Linked DNA regions of Lytechinus pictus. The protein of the gene in region 1 binds, or shares a complex with, the protein of each later gene. Links are inferred from orthologs where the notes say so. Each region holds a gene or a part of one and is shown on either strand. Other genes may lie near its edges.

Region 1 (8,200 bases):
CGCGATGCCAACGATGTGTATATTTTCGTAGTACGTGTAGGCCAACACAGTCCGCAATGGTAGCGGTGTGTTGGTGTCTGTAGTCGGTACAGGCCAACACTGCCCTCGATGCCAACGATCTATATCTGTGTTCTGTAGTATGTAGACCAACAGTGTCCGCGATGCCAACGATGTGTATATTTCCGTAGTATGTGTAGACCAACATTGCCCGCGATGCCAACGATGTGTTGGTGTCTGTAGTACAGGCCAACATTGCCCTCGATGCCAACGATGCGATCATATCTGTAGTTGCCTATGTAAACCAACATTGCCCGCCATGGCAACGATGTGTTGGTGTCTGTAGTACATGCCAACAGTGCCCGCGATGCCAACGATGCGATCATATCTGTAGTTTCCTATGTAGACCAACATTGCCCGCGATGCCAACGATGTGTTGGTGTCTGTACTGTAGAGTACAGGCTAACATTGCCCTCGATGCCAACGATGTGAATGTATCCTTAGTAGGTATAGGCCAACAGCGCCCGCGATGCCAACGATGTGTTGGTGCCTGTAGTAGATGCCAACAGTGCCAACGATGCCAACAATGTAAATGTATCTTTAGTACGTATAGGCCAACAGCGCCGGCCAGGATGCCAACGATGTGTTGGTGTCTGTAGTATAGGCCAACCTTGCCCGCGATGCCAACGATGTGAATGTATCTTTTGTATGTATAGGCCAACAGCGCCCGCGATGCCAACGATGTGTTGGTGCCTGTAGTAGATGCCAACAGTGCCAACGATGCCAACAATGTAAATGTATCTTTAGTACGTATAGGCCAACAGCGCCGGCCAGGATGCCAACGATGTGTTGGTGTCTGTAGTACAGGCCAACCTTGCCATCGATGCCAACGATGTGAATGTATCTTTAGTAAGTATAGGCCAACTTTGCCGGCGATGCCAACGATGTGAACGTATGTTTAGTATGTATATACCAACAGCGCCCGCGATGCCAACGATGTGTTGGTGCCTGTAGTAGATGCCAACAGTGCCAACGATGTGAATGTATCTTACATAGGCCAACATTGCCGGCGATGCCAACGATGTGAATATGCCTGTAGTAGAGGCCAACATTGCCGGCGATGCCAACGATGTGAATGTATCTTTAGTAAGTATAGGCCAACTTTGCCGGCGATGCCAACGATGTGAATGTATGTTTAGTATGTATATACCAACAGCGCCCGCGATGCCAACGATGTGTTGGTGCCTGTAGTAGATGCCAACAGTGCCAACGATGTGAATGTATCTTACATAGGCCAACATTGCCGGCGATGCCAACGATGTGAATATGCCTGTTGTAGAGGCCAACATTGCCGGCGATGCCAACGATGTGAATATAACCCTAACCCTAACCCTAACCCTAACCCTAACCCTAACCCTAACCCTAACCCTAAACCCTAACCCTAACCCTAACCCTAACCCTAAACCCTAACCCTAACCCTAAACCCTAACCCTAACCCTAACCCTAACCCTAACCCTAACCCTAACCCTAACCCTAACCCTAACCCTAACCCTAAACCCTAACCCTAACCCTAACCCTAACCCTAATTGAATTCAATTCCCATTGAATTCAATTCCCATTGAATTCCTTCAATGGGAATTAAAACTTTATTTCATATTTTAATGAAGAAAAAATGAAAATATTTCATGTATAAAAAATACAAAAGAAATAGAGAGTGAATGACATCGATCACCTCACTAACCAGGATATGCATATATTAAACTGTTTTGTGAAACCATACCTTGAAACGCTTGCCAACGATGTTTTGAATGTTGCATTGCACGGTCACATCGTTGGTCGTTGGCTAGCGGCGCACCCAACGATGTATAGCAATAGCTAGTAGTAGTAGGTAATTTAAAAGAGTGTATTAATCTTGTACTATTGCACCTTCACATCGTGGGTCGTTGGTTAGCCAACGATGTTTTGAATATTATATTGCACCGTCCGTACCGTCACAACGTGGGTCGTTGGCTAGCAGCGCACCCAACGATGTTTAATTATAGCTCTAGTAGTAGTCAAAGGGCAAAGGTCATTACGTATGGCCTGGATGCATTGCTCGTACGTACCGTCATACGTACGTACGTACGTAGTATAGTAGTAGTAGTAGTACCAGTAATGCATGTACGTATATAATAGTATGGGTATATCTAGGCTATATACCATTGAATTAGTATATAGCTATAGGTCTTGACATCGTTGTGTTGGCTGACCAACGATTGGGTAGTGAGCAGTGTCGGGGTATTCTGCAGTTAAGCCAAATTAGATTACATTATAAGATTAAGATGACTAAATTTAGTATATTGAAGATTTAGGCATGTTTCATATTCTCACATTCGTGTGATGAATGAAAACGTCAAAATTCATTAGGCCTAGGCCTATGATAATATGAAATGACATGCGTTGTGCGAGGTCGAGGTTAGTATTACTAACCTCGCATGTTGTGTGAGTGTTCTGTAAGTCCTCGTATTAATTTTTCGTAAATTAACGTTATTTGTTGAATGCGCCATGCCTTCAATTATTCTGTAGTCGGCGGCTGCCGGCTGAGATGTAGCCGTGGGTGGGAAGTTGGAGCCTCCTGGCTAGCTTCACCATCACATCACAGAAATATATAGGTGGGACAACGTAGGAAATTTGTTTACGTCGTCGCGATCGCCGGCGCCAAGTCTAACCTTAACGTTCAAGTTTTTTAGCGTAAAATGTAAACTCATGCCATGGTTTTGTGGATGATTTCGATTTTTTAGCAGAACTTAATCTCCTACTCAAAAACTAGCCATCTACTGATTCGTAAATAATGACATACCATCGCCTTCGATCTTGATTCAACCACGATCTGAATCTCTGTTGATTCTCGAAATTCCTCCGTTGCGCCGCACTTCTCTCTCATCTCCCCCTCTAGCTCTAGCTCTCGTTCAGTTCCTCCGATCCGCTGTTCGGATATATATATCGGCAGGTATCCTCTTCTTCTTCTGTATCCTTCCTCCGCTGTATCGGAGATCCGCAGTTTAATACTGCATCATTAGCATTTCATATTTCATATTTTGACGTGAGAGAGGTGAATCTTATGAAAGAATTTAAAACAAGTCGGTTTAGGTCGTTTTTGGAGGAATCTGTTAATTCGACGTCAGGTAGAAACAGGACGGAAATGGTAAATTGTTGAGGTTCTTGATCATTAAATGCTCAGAAAAATATTGCAGTTCCTTGTCTTCTTTTAAGTTTAGAAGTGTTTTCCTGTCTGTGCTAAATGCAGTGGCGTAACAGGCGGGGGGCAGGGGGGCAAGCTGCCCCCCCCCCCCTCCTGGCAGATTTCACCCGGAAAATAAAAAAACGGGGAAAAGGAAGAGGGAGGGAGAAACAAAGGGAAAGGGGAAGGAGGAAAAGGAAAGGGAAATGGAAAAGTGAAAAGAAAACGAAGCGATTTTTTTTTTAATGGAAAAGGAATTAGGAAAGCGGGAAAGGAACGAAAGAAGAACATCCCTGAAATAGGCATATAAAAGTAATGCAATAGCATGATGGGAAATAAATTAAAAGATGACAAAATGGCAAACAATAGCGGGAAGTGAAGGTAGAATGGAATAAGTCAAAAGCTAAATTGGAAAACAAAGAAAAGGGCCGGACAAGAAAAATATTAATAACACGACCTGGCTGCCGAGGATTGAAAGTAAAGAGCGGGAAGAAAGAGTGAATTGCATACAAAATTGTGCTATCTTGCTTATTTTTTTGCAAATAAGCTACCGGGGGCTTTAATTGCCCCCGGAGACCCCACGCAGTAGGGGTTCTTCATCTGTAACTTTCAAATGGCTCTATAACGCCCCCCCCCCCCCGGCCCTGTAGGGACCCTTCATACATTATACTTTACTAAGCTTCAATCACTGGCGTACAGGCGCGGGGGGGTGTCTTGGTTCCACACCCAAAAGGAAATAAAAGAAATTATAGGAGACAACTATAATGAAATGAATGGAAACAATGAAAGTTGTTATTTGCTGAATATAATGGAAAATCTATCACAGAATTTAATTTCATTGGGCATTTTTTTTCCAGCTCGCTTTGCTAGCTGGCGACTTTTTACCAATTTCCCCACATTGCTATGTTTTGCCCCCTCAAAATATTTGGTTCAACTGGGTTGAATAAATGTGTTGTGTAAAAGCTATATTCTGTATATACCCGCGATTTGATCTAAAATAGCGGCAATCTGCGAAGTTTAAATGGCTGTGATATCAAGAAGTTCCGGGGGCTCTGCCCTGGACCCCAACCGCATAGCACTGCCGTATATGAATATGGAAGGGTTAATTGGGCCATGGTCCCCAAAACTTCTACAACCAAGAAAAAAAAAAGGAGGATAGAAAAGCAAAAGAGAAAAGGAAAAGTGTATGACATATAGGAACCATTTAAACAAACTGCTAGTTCTTCAGAAGAAAGTTATGAGGCTCATAACATATTCGAATTACAGATGTCCAAGTATTCCTCTATTTCTGCAATTGAAGATTTTGCCTCCTGGTGATTTTGTCTCCTTCAATTGTTTGATATTTATGTACAAATCACTATCCTCTCAAAGCTGTTCATTTTTTAAAAATGCATTTGTTGTTAATTCAAATGTACATTTGTACAATACACGGCAGAAAAATCTTATCCACCAACCACTTACAAGAACAAATACTGCTTTGAATTCTTTTGTGATAGTTTGTACAAAAGAATGGAATAAGTTACCACAAAACTTTCGATCCAGTCCAACACTGCCCATATTTGAAAATTCATGTCGAAAATATTTATTTGAAAGATTACAAAATATCTTAAATTGATTCTTGATAAACCATGTGTGTGTGTGTGTTTTGTATGTATTTTTCTTATTTACTCTACATTATCATTGTAAATATTTTTTTCATCTCATTACTGTTGTAATGTACTTTACAAGGGGCCCCTCTCACAAGCTCTGCTTCTTTGGGGTCCCAAACCTATCATATATTCTAATTTTTGTTAAACTGTGTAATATGTCTCTTGTTTTGATTGGTTTGAATAAACTTAAACTTGAACTTGAACTTGTAGGATATGATTTTATTTACTGAATATAATGTCAAAAAATATCTCCAAGTTAGATTATCGCTTCGCTCGCTCGGGGCTTATATTAAGCAGCTTTTTAGCACATGCGCCATATACTGCGCCCATGCATCGTTTTTTTACTTTATCACGTTCGCTACTGCTGCAAATAATCCTGTTCACAGTGGCGTACAGACCACAAAAACAAATGAATGGAAGATTTTATGTCAAAATCTTTTGCATTAAAAAAATTTTGCATTAAAAATGTCAAATTTTGCTCGCTCGCAACTTTTTTTAAAAGATAAATTCTGTCCGATACGCAATATCTGGCCCTCTCAAAATCGCCGCCTTATTACACCATTCCGCCTGTTCATACCATGATATGACCGGGAAATTTTTGGCTCTTGCCCCCCCCCCCCCCCCCCCCCCCCCTGGCCACCAACCCCTGTTACGCCGCTGGCTAAATGCTGGGCATCCTCCAACAAAATGTATAACAAAAACGGAGTGGCAGAACTTGCAGGACTTTGTGGTACTTTGATCATTCTCATAGGCGGATCCAGGGGGCCGAGGGGCCCGGCCCCCCCCCCCCCTATTGGCGGAGTAAAAAAAGGGGAAAAGGGAAAGAAAAAAAAAGGGGGGAAAGAGATAAGAAAAAAGAAGAGGAGGAAGACGAGGGAATAAAATAAGATGAGGGGAAGACTTGGAAAATAAAAAGATCTCTTTCATGTCACTATAGCTATATAAAATTTTCGCTCGCGCTTCGCATTGCCTGTTAGGTGATTTTCATATTTTGTTCAATATGGAGTTTGAATATCAAGTTTGGAAGTCAATTTACAAAACATATTCTACCTCGGAAATCGAACTTTCATTATTTTGTGTGAATATTGATGTTTAAAAAGTGCTCTGTAAAAATGTCAGGTTTTTTATCTGAATATTAACATTTCTGCTCGCGCTGCGCGCGCGCAAATTTTGATTTATCAGGTACCTATGATTTTCGTGTATTCCATAAAGTTTTAAAAATACCCTTTTCAGGTCTGATTGTCAAAACGTATCAGCTAGCACTGCACGCTCGCATTTTGATTGGCGAGTTATGTATGTCTCAATATTGATTATACAACAAACTACTTAAAATCCTCTTTTCATGACACTCAAAGTAATAATAATGAAAAATCTCAGCTCTTTATTAAGTGCGATCAATAAAAAATTAGTTCATGCACTGATGTCTTCACGACTTGATTTCGAGAATGCCTTGCTTTACAATTTGAATTTACCCAACACCCAGTTGTCCAAACTCCAAAATCTTCAAAACGCTGCAGCACGCATAGTCACCCTTTCCCAAAAAACATGTTCATACTTTTTATAGGTTTCGATGGGGATAGACTTTAATTTTTAGGATTTCTCTTCATTTAATCTTTATGCGTCCTTTATCTTAGGAAATTAATGAAAATAGAAGCTGATTTAATATTCCGCTAAAGCGCCCCTTTTACAGAAAGGGGCGTTATTAAAAGGACATTTTAAACAGACTAATAGAGTCAAAGGAAAGTGATGGGGCTACTTTGACAAGCTCTGTAAAATAGTATAGGGTATATAGGCTTCAATGTACAAGGACGTCTTTTAATGCAATCTTTAGAACAATGTATCTTCTGTCTTTTTTTTTCAAAAGATCAGTGGAAATGATAATGATAATTTCAAATAAAAATTATATCACTCTGATATTGAAAAAGGGGTGGGGAGTACCTTCTAGCGGCTCCAAATAGGGTTAGGCTTTGATTCCCATAACGTCATTGCATGTAACATGCATAGCAATGTTTTATTTTCTCCATGCATAACAAGAAATAAATTGACAGAATATAATGTTACATTAATAATAATAATAATAATAGTACAAAGTAGGAACTAAGCATAAACAAGAATGTTTGCAGTGCAGGTTCCTTAACTTACATCGTTTGTAAGTAACGCGTTTGACTAAAACATGGCTTAAAAAAATAAGCATTCACAGAAACCAGAACAAAAAATATATCAATATTAAAACTACATTAATGCCCTTTTCTGTCTTTCTCTAATATTTCCAAGAGCAGAAGAGGTTTCGTAAATATAAAAGTTGTTTTGCTAACTGTGGCATCGCAGCGTTTAGGAAACTCTAAAATTTTCTTTTAATGTGGGCCCAACGTTTGTAAGTTATAATCCCCATGAATATGCTAGGAGAATAAATTTAGTTGATACAACTTGAACTTTATAATTATACTAATTGTAATTAGCATAATATGAAAAGTTGTATAGTTCTACCCAACAAACTGTTCTATCTGTATTTGCTTTTCTCTTCATGTCATAATGAACGTTAATTTTAGTTGTGCCACAATTTTAATTGGGAATCAGGTATAAACTGGGAAAATGAACCATTTTATGTTCGAATTTGAATAATATATGATAATTCATGCATAATCTATACATAATTTATGCAAATTAGATGACAATATGGATGGATAAACAGCTCGTTGGTAAATGTTTTCTTTTCCTCCATGCTCCATAAAAAGTTGGTACTGAGTAAAACGCCCAATTTTGGTGATTGAATATAGTGTCTGGGCATTCTAAATATATTTTTTATCATGAAAATCAAAATGTGATCGCGAAGCGCGAGCTGAAAATATTTGATATTCCTATTTGAAAAAGCGTTAATTTAAGCACCAATTCAAGCACTATGTAGGAAAGTTGTGAAGTGGATATTATGGATCGCTCTTAATAAATGATTTGAACGCGAAGCGCAAGCTGATATTTTAATTATTTTTATTTTGATCTAGGATCTGGACATTCTAAGGACATTTTGTCATCATATGAAAATGATGACTTTCTTCTATTCCTCTTCCTAAGCGAGAGATATTCCATCTGAAAAAAAAGGACAATTTAAATATTAGGAATTCATGAAAATGTTAATGTTAATCTAATAAGCCTAATGACAGCTCGACATTTGTTGACATTAATTCCTGAAAAATGGATATAGCACTTTTGTAATTATGAATAGGATGCATGGGTTACTATCTTTAACAAATTAATGAGAGCGCAATTTGCGATGTCATGAAAAGGGGATTTTAAGTAGTTTGTTTTAGAATTGCTTATTATAGAGGAAATTATTGAG
Region 2 (8,219 bases), on another chromosome or scaffold:
ATTATGATATTTTAAAGTATTATTTTCATAAAACAGTTATACATTAAAGGTGGTATGCACATGATAAACCATTTTTCCAACATATCTTGCATATTGTTATTATCAAATTGGAAATATTATCTTCTGTACCAGGTGTATATTCTTTATATTCGGTTTATTTGAATATTTATGTCATTTATATTTTCTGCTGTTATGTTTTATTTATTGTAATTATTGCATTATAAATTTTGTTGGAAAAATGAATAAATAAATGAATGAATGAATGTCCACACTCTATGTTTCTTTTGTATTTTAAATATGAAATATCAAATGTATAAATTATTTCTTCCAATGATATAAACTTGGTTTGATATTAAAAACATGTGCAATTCAATTTTCACTACAAGACATAATGAAATAGAATAGTTTACAGGATAATAGGAACCAGAAAATAGAATGAAAGCTAGTCAGGTATGGTACCTTTAAATGCTCAAATACAATATATTTGTCTCGTTGAAAAAAATACAAAAAAAACCCCAGAAAAATTCATTGAATTTACCTTCACAAAATGGAATTCAGGTTTTTGCTGTGTACATTTTCTCTGACAATACAGCAGTTCCATTTTATGTTAAGTTTAAAATGGAATTACGGTATAGGTTCCAAGGAAAGGAAAAGGCCAATTTTTTGAAAGGGAAATCATTGTCCCAATTTTTTTTCTTCATAAATCATGAATTGAGCTGATGAATTGACATAATTGACAGGTTAAGGCTTTTAATAACAAACACCAATACCCTTTTAAGTTTCTAATCTCAACAATTTATTTTTCAAAAATCTTGTTAATGACGTATTTTCAATTCTCAACAATATCTTTAGAGGCAATACTAAAGACTGATTATAAAAGGCCCATCAATGTGACAAATAGAGAATTAAATCAGATTAAGCAAATATCACTCTTTCTGTAATACTATCATATGTCTTACTATTGTTTGAAAGAGCTACAATAAGGATTATGGTTTTTTTTTAAATTCTATTTCGCACCTGCAAAGTGCTCAGTATATTTCTCCCCAAAAAGGACGCAGAAAGAAAAAATCTGTTATCTTTCATTTCATCTGAGATTCAAGAGATTCAACTGAAAGTACAAATCAAGAATGTTCAGATTTTTATGCTTGAAAGAGGCTTTATCATTAAAAATATACACCTACCAATTTACAGCAAGCTGAAAAGGAGCGTTGTTCTGGGTTAGGGTGAGATAACTCTTCAGAGCTTCATCACTTGAATGATTCTGGTATCCCTTCAAAAAAATAGAAGAAAAATATACCTAAAAACATAATATTTTCCTCTACCAAAATGCATGAAGTACCCCCCCCCCCACCATCCATTCCAAAATAAGATATCTAATTACAAAATGGCTTATTGTGAAACCTCTACAGCAATTCTTTTACACTGTATCTGAATTATCTGTTACGAATAATAATGGAAACAAAAACGTCAATACCACATAATCAACGAAGGGGCTTAAATTAATCCAAGGTCATGGCTTCTGATACCCTCAGAAACGGCCTTCATGATCTTCCAAATATTTGAAGGCTTCAGGTTAAAATAAATGCCCTTTTGCCTTTTGCCATTTTGATGAACAAAAATATTAGTTTTCTTGGCTAATTTTAGTTTATTTATTCAGATAGTATGTTCAGCTCTCTGTGCCAATTTAACACATCAACAGAGCTCTTTTTCATGAACTTACCCACTCAATCATGAAACCATCCATGCCCACAACCTTGGCTTGGAGAATGAGATATTCCTGGAAATTGGATTAAATTACAACTCTTGTTACTTTATGTATGGTATTCAATAGGTGATTAATAGGGGCCGGGGAGGGATAAGGTAGGGTCATCAAAATGAAACTTCACATAGCAGTAGGACATACACTGTTGTATACCTGAAAAAATGCATCAGGGAAGACCTGCATGGGGGGCGTTTCATGAAAGGACTTGTCGGACGTTTTATCCGACAAGTCCCATTTTATCCGACAGTTACCATAGGAACAGTGCCTCTCTGCCAATCAAAATCATGGAAAGATGTCAGATCTGACAACTTGTCGGATGAAAATATTGATGAAACGCTCCCCAGGTGCAAAAGACAACCCCCCCCCCAACTTTGTCTCTTTTTTTTTTCTCATTTGGATTGCGAGAGGGGATTATTTACACTATTTTGGTAAGCGAGGGCAGTCTCTACCCCCCCCCCCCTCCCCCCCCCTTCAGTAGGTATGCTAGTGGGGAAAAGGGTGATAATAACAGCAACTTTTCAATAAAGCTAATAACCCTTTCATTTTTAAACTAAATTACAAAATGACAGGAGCCATAACCATAAATACATGATATTTTCATAAACAATGAATCACACAAATGTATATTACTGTTATCAACTAGTATAAGTTCCTAATAACATTCAAGAAATAAAAGAAGAAATACTTGATTTATGATTTATTTTATTAGGGCAGTTTCATGAAAAACTTTTTTACTAACAAATTAGCTCTGAGCCAATCAAATGCAAGGATTTCAGTAACTTATAACAAATAGCCAGAGATAATCACTGACTACTTGTTCCATGAAATGCTCCCTTGATGAGCTCACCTGGTAAATAGGATCATGATCAGAAGTAAGACCCAAGCTCGGATATACCGAAGATGCTATGTCTATATGATGCGAGCCATCAGAGGTCAAAAGGTCAGCATTGTAGATGAAATGTGTCTTGCTAGCATGACTTTTCTTTGCAACTCTGTATTAAATACAAGATGAAAAAAAGAGTAGTATTACTATTAAGGATAATATGTCTTGTTTCATAAAGAGTTGTTATAATAACAATGGCACAATTTCTATTACAAGTTGACTACATGTATCAGTCATCAAATTGAATGATTTCAGTTGCTTTAAACTGTAAATTGCAAATTCGTTTTTGTAACAAGTCTTATGAAATTGGGCCCTGGTCAAGAGTATGAACACTGCATAATACTAACATTCAATGTAGACAGCTAGATCTGTTAGTTGAGAGTGAGGTTATCAAACAATTTGTGAACTTTTTACTCTGTCTTCCTAATGCAAGGAGGTGCAATGAAGCAAGGCATAGTAGTACAGTGAAACAACTTTAGACTGAAAATTTCACTCTAAAGTAAACTGGTGCAATTAAAATACTTGATTCCAGTTTGACATATTAAAATATAAAATTATATTTGCAAATAAATGCAGGGCATGAGCATACAGGATATGATCATATTCAATAGACAAGGACAGTAATCAGAAAAAGAAATAGCTTCATTCAATGAAGGGCAATTTCGATCCTACAACAGAAATTACAAAAGAAAAAACATTTAAAAAAATATATAAAAAAGCAAAAGACTTCAATTAGTGACAAAAATAACAGAACACTTTCTTTTGAAAAATGCATATCTTCATTTTGTATCCATTCCCAAATTGTTTTCCGAGCCACTTACTCCCTTCCACCATATAATAAATCAGCAGGCAACAAATTATTATTATTTTTTTTTTTTCAGGAGCTAATTTTTCAGGGCTCTTTTGAGTATTTTGGGGTGAAATCGCCCCCTTCCTTGTGTATTTTTCCCCCTGTAAGTCAGGTATATTGTGACCTAAATCTTAAAACTAATTAAAAGAAGAAATTACCCATGAAAAGACCATAAACCAAGGCTGCCATCGTGTTGCCTCGTAAGCTTGTTGCTTGTCACATCAGCAAGTATCTAGATGACAATAATAGAGTAAAAATCATATGATCATATTTAATATTTCTTATTTGTTTAAAGTACATTTTTCTTCTTCTTTGCTGGCCAATAGTATTTTTAGTAGGGCCTAACCCTTACTAAGTTACAGCAGATTTCAGAATCGTCAAAATTGTGAAATCTACTTTTTCTTAAGGGGGTGTTGCAAGAAAATATTTGCAATCAATCGCAAATATTCTGTTGCAGTTTTACAACTGATACATCAACGTTAGCTATAGTATACTATAGCAAATCAGATTAAACTTCTTGTTTCAAGGAACAAATTAGCAATCAATCACTAATTTGCAATTAACTGCAAGACATGTGATTAGGATTGACTTGCAATTGATCGCAAGTTTCTTGCAACACCCCATGGCCATTACTACTACTTGACTAAGTAACAAGTTAATACGTTGTCGTTCATAGAAATTTACGAAAAGTCGAAAACACGCAGACAATATGATTAAGTTTAGAACAGATTATTCATACCAACTTTCCTGCACAAGTCCTCCATGACCCAAACCACATAATGAATAGAAGAACAGGTGAAATGCGCATCTTGTAACAGCTCTTCGCTTGGAAACCTAAATTTACTCCGAACTCCGACGACGCGACCGGGAAGCACAGTACCAGCGCAGCTCAACGCTAGCTAGCTCGCTCCCCCGGCCCGGCCCACCCGGCGCGGCCCGCGGTCCCCCGTAAGCCACTGATGCTGTGCGCCGGAATGATCCAGCTGCTAATCACGTCGCGGTATCAATAACATTAACAAGATTGGTATACTTTCTCACAAGCTAATGATACGTAGAAGATACCTCTAATCACCTTAGTTTGTAACACCAAATCGTGCTACAATCTGAATAGTTGTGAAGGAAGATAAGAAAGAGTGAGTCTGAAACTGAGCTAGCTGAGCGAAAAAGATGATGAGATGGCTTCTACTCCAACAGTATTTTTGCTCATGATGAGCGGTCAGATTGAAGGAGGAGATGTGAGTATTATGCTCTGAAAACTGTAGTCATGATATGAATCAAATAAACTCATTTAGAGAGAATGGTGCCTTGGTGGACAAACCGATTTGATACTTAGATTCATTCTGATTCTTGTAGTCTTGTTTGAATGTGTATTTAAGGGTAGTCGCTAAAGATTGACTTGATGTTTTGCGTTGTCTTGGAGTAATGGAGATACTAACTGGCTATGAATTAACATGTGCACATTATTATATGATACACATGTAGGCATTATCGTGAAATTGGGAAGCAGTTCCTAATTTCCACCAGACACTTTTTCATGACAAGACATGTCATGACCTTTTCGAGCTTGCACATGCACACTGCTTCACCGCTGCTGGCGCACTGATTCTAAAAATTCTAATCCTTCAAAGAGCTTGATTTATTTTGTCGCTGTCTTTTCTCTACTCGCTATAATGGGAACCAGCGTGGAAAATTGTCCATAGAATTGTACACGCTGGTTCCCATTTCAGCGAGTAGATAAAGACAGATTATTAATGAGATTTATTTCGTCAGTGATGATTCTGACGAGATGATTTTCTCTAGTAAACTGTCTTTATCTACTCGTGAAAATGGGAACCAGCACAATCCAGGAGAATTTTCCATAGCTGGTTCCCATTTTGAAGAGTAGATATAGATTGCCAATGAGATTTATTTCGTTAGTGGTGATTCTGTCAAAATATATCTCACTAATCTGTCTTTATCTACTCGTGAAAATGGGAACCAGCATGTATAATTCAGTAGAATTTTCTTAAGGGGTTCCTATTTTGAAGAGTAGATATAAAGAGAGATTGCCAATGAGATTTATTTCGTCAGTGATGATTCTGATGACATAAATTTCACTAGTAAACTGTCTTTATCTACTCGTGATGTGAAAATGGATAGAGTGTATTAAAGTGATTCATCCCCATATATATCTTGTTTGTGATTTATTTAGTGAATCGATTTTGTAATCATTTTTTATGTCAACATTGTGAAAGTGGCAGAGTGGTCTTGAAGAGCACGGAAATGCGGGGTAGATGGATATAATTACAAAAATTATGATTCCGCGGAATCGATGTCATCTGAATACTTGTCCACCCACATGCAATCTGAGCCTGATAAATATCGCATGAGGAAAGAGATAACCAGTTGTGTGAGGAGTTTTGCACCGTAAAAAAAGCCTCTCGCATCCATTTTTTCAAAATCGCCGAAGCGAAGTTTCTTTACATATCGTGGTGAAAGGAGGTACAAATTTGATTTGGTGACCAGTTCCCAAAAGCAGGGAATGGCCCATATGTAAATAAAACTTAACTTTGTTAAACTGGAAGATGGAGAGGAGAGAGAAAGAAGAAGAGGAGGGAAGGGGATATGAATAGAATTTCAATTTTCATCATGAACTAAAGTAAAAGTCAAAGACAAACCACAAAGAAAGGAAAGTAAATGTGGAGACTTGACCAAACGTGAAATGAAGAAGGATTCAGCCTTAGTTTGAGGAAGGTTAATGTTGGTAGCTAGAGTAGAGTTTCATGCCCCAGCATACCTCAAGTGATGTTCGTTTAGCTGGGCTCCACTTCACTACCGCTACACTACGCTACACCTACCTGAACATCAAAGTGGTGAACTCTGATACTCCGAGTGACAAAGGTGGATTTTATGGGGGGAAATATAAAATTCATGCAACAACACGATCTTTTAAAACAATGGAAACTAATATTCTTACTTTTCACAAAGTTTCACTTCTTTTCCATGCTTCTATCAGTCACAAAATTGGTATTAATTCTCTGCCGATTCCAAAACATCGCAAACTGCATTGGAATTGGCAGTGAATTAATACATGTATGTGTGAGGAAAATGTTACTGGCTCTAAATCGCCAATTATGAAACTTGTAATCCATTTGACCCTCCCATTCTTGAGCAGTGAGCTAAAAACTAACAGGTGGCCTTATTACCCCACTCTCCATACATGTATTGATAATTCTTGTGTGATATTGGGAAGGGGTGTTTATATTTAAGTGTCCTTTGCAGTGAGTGGATTTGGAAGGCCACATCATCACAGAGATTTCTGTTGGAATAGTTTTCAAACGATATAGCCTAACTTTTAGATAATTCAGACATCCATATTGCCTGGCTCATGACGGTGCTGCTTGGAAGGTTGAAAGGAATGCTTCCCTTATCTCATGTTGATCTCAATATTTTTTGTGTTCATAGTCACAGTATTCCCTTTTATGTTGAAATCTACTAAATGTAGTGGATCTTTGATTATATGATCTCATCTTTATTTTAAAGAATCAATCTTAAAATGCTAGCTGCTTGAACTGCATTGAAAAAGAATATTAGTTTGGTCTCATGTATAAAACTCACTTTTTTTAATTCAATTCTCATATTTAGTTTCCAGAGTTTGATGATCTCTATGTCAAATACAACTTTGTGTATGGTCCAGACTGGGTCATTACAAGTGTAAGTACAAAGTTTGAATAATTCCCATTATTTTCTTGTTTTTAACTTTCAATTCATTACAATACATAACCCTTTGTAAATTGTGTAATCACTGTTTTTATCAGCATGATTTTATTCCCAAAAATTAATTTGAAAAATTATTGATTTTGTACACTGTAACATGATACTGATGTTTGATAATTTAATTTTCAATAAATACACAGATGTGAATACCATTGTGATATCCAGGGCTTAAATAACCTTGAAGGTCATCTAAGTCTTTGACCTCAGATATTCTACTGATTGTCCTCAATGTCCATTTTCTGGCCCTTGGATATCTATGCCCTATTCAATTTTCCCATCAGACCCCTTTTAAAATTGCCCTCGCCATAAAAAAAATATTGAAATTAATGCGTAAAATACATGTATTTCAGTCATATACCTATTCACTATATTATTGATTCAATTATTATGTTTTTATTGTTCGAATGTACATATTTTGTAATGTTTTTATCATGAGAAAAATCAATCATTATTTTAATTGTCTATTTGTCTTATCTTAGGGTCTTGAGGAAGGTATCTCACAAGTTTGCAAGAAGAATGTTTATGGAAACCAATATTTTGTGTGGAACTTTCCTCTGGATGTGACATTCAAGAGCACTAACCCTTATGGCTGTAAGTAGAACTAATAGGAATATTGAATCACAATTTTTTTTAGGATTGTTGATGTTTTTAATCTTCTTCATCATCTTTCTCCTTCCTCTTCTCCATCATCTCATCCTCATTTTCTTCTCTCTCTTTTCTCTTCCATGCCTCTCCTCTTCCTCCTTTTTTGCTGCCTCTCCTTACTCTCTTCCCTTTTCTATTCATTTCTCCTTTTCCTCCCCCAGTCCTCTTCTTTTATTCCTCTCCCCTGTTCTCTTCCCATCATCCTCCACCCCTCTCCCCCTTTTCTTCTTCCCACTATCTCCCCCCCACCACTTCCTCTTTCTTTTCCAGTCTATCTCTCCTCTCCCCTCTACTTTTCTCTTTCCCCTCCCCCTTTGCTTTCT

The links. Proteins that work in one complex are often made in the same cells at the same time.
Region 2: coiled-coil and C2 domain-containing protein 2A-like (region 1) and B9 domain-containing protein 1-like share a complex: the UniProt entries of both Homo sapiens proteins name them as parts of the tectonic-like complex. The link is inferred for Lytechinus pictus from reciprocal best matches to the Homo sapiens genes CC2D2A and B9D1.

What each region holds. Positions count from the first base shown.
Region 1 is NC_087261.1:31,142,059-31,150,258, reverse strand, and holds the start of coiled-coil and C2 domain-containing protein 2A-like, read right to left. Parts: upstream 3,259-8,200; 5' UTR 2,837-3,258; intron 1-2,836. UniProt on the Homo sapiens protein: Component of the tectonic-like complex, a complex localized at the transition zone of primary cilia and acting as a barrier that prevents diffusion of transmembrane proteins between the cilia and plasma membranes.
Region 2 is NC_087254.1:10,976,215-10,984,433, reverse strand, and holds the start of B9 domain-containing protein 1-like, read left to right. Parts: upstream 1-4,443; 5' UTR 4,444-4,670; coding exon 4,671-4,730; intron 4,731-7,119; coding exon 7,120-7,188; intron 7,189-7,730; coding exon 7,731-7,842; intron 7,843-8,219. Other genes in the region: uncharacterized protein LOC129269100, read right to left, coding at 1,182-1,270, 1,721-1,777, 2,610-2,754, 3,654-3,727, 4,235-4,303. UniProt on the Homo sapiens protein: Component of the tectonic-like complex, a complex localized at the transition zone of primary cilia and acting as a barrier that prevents diffusion of transmembrane proteins between the cilia and plasma membranes.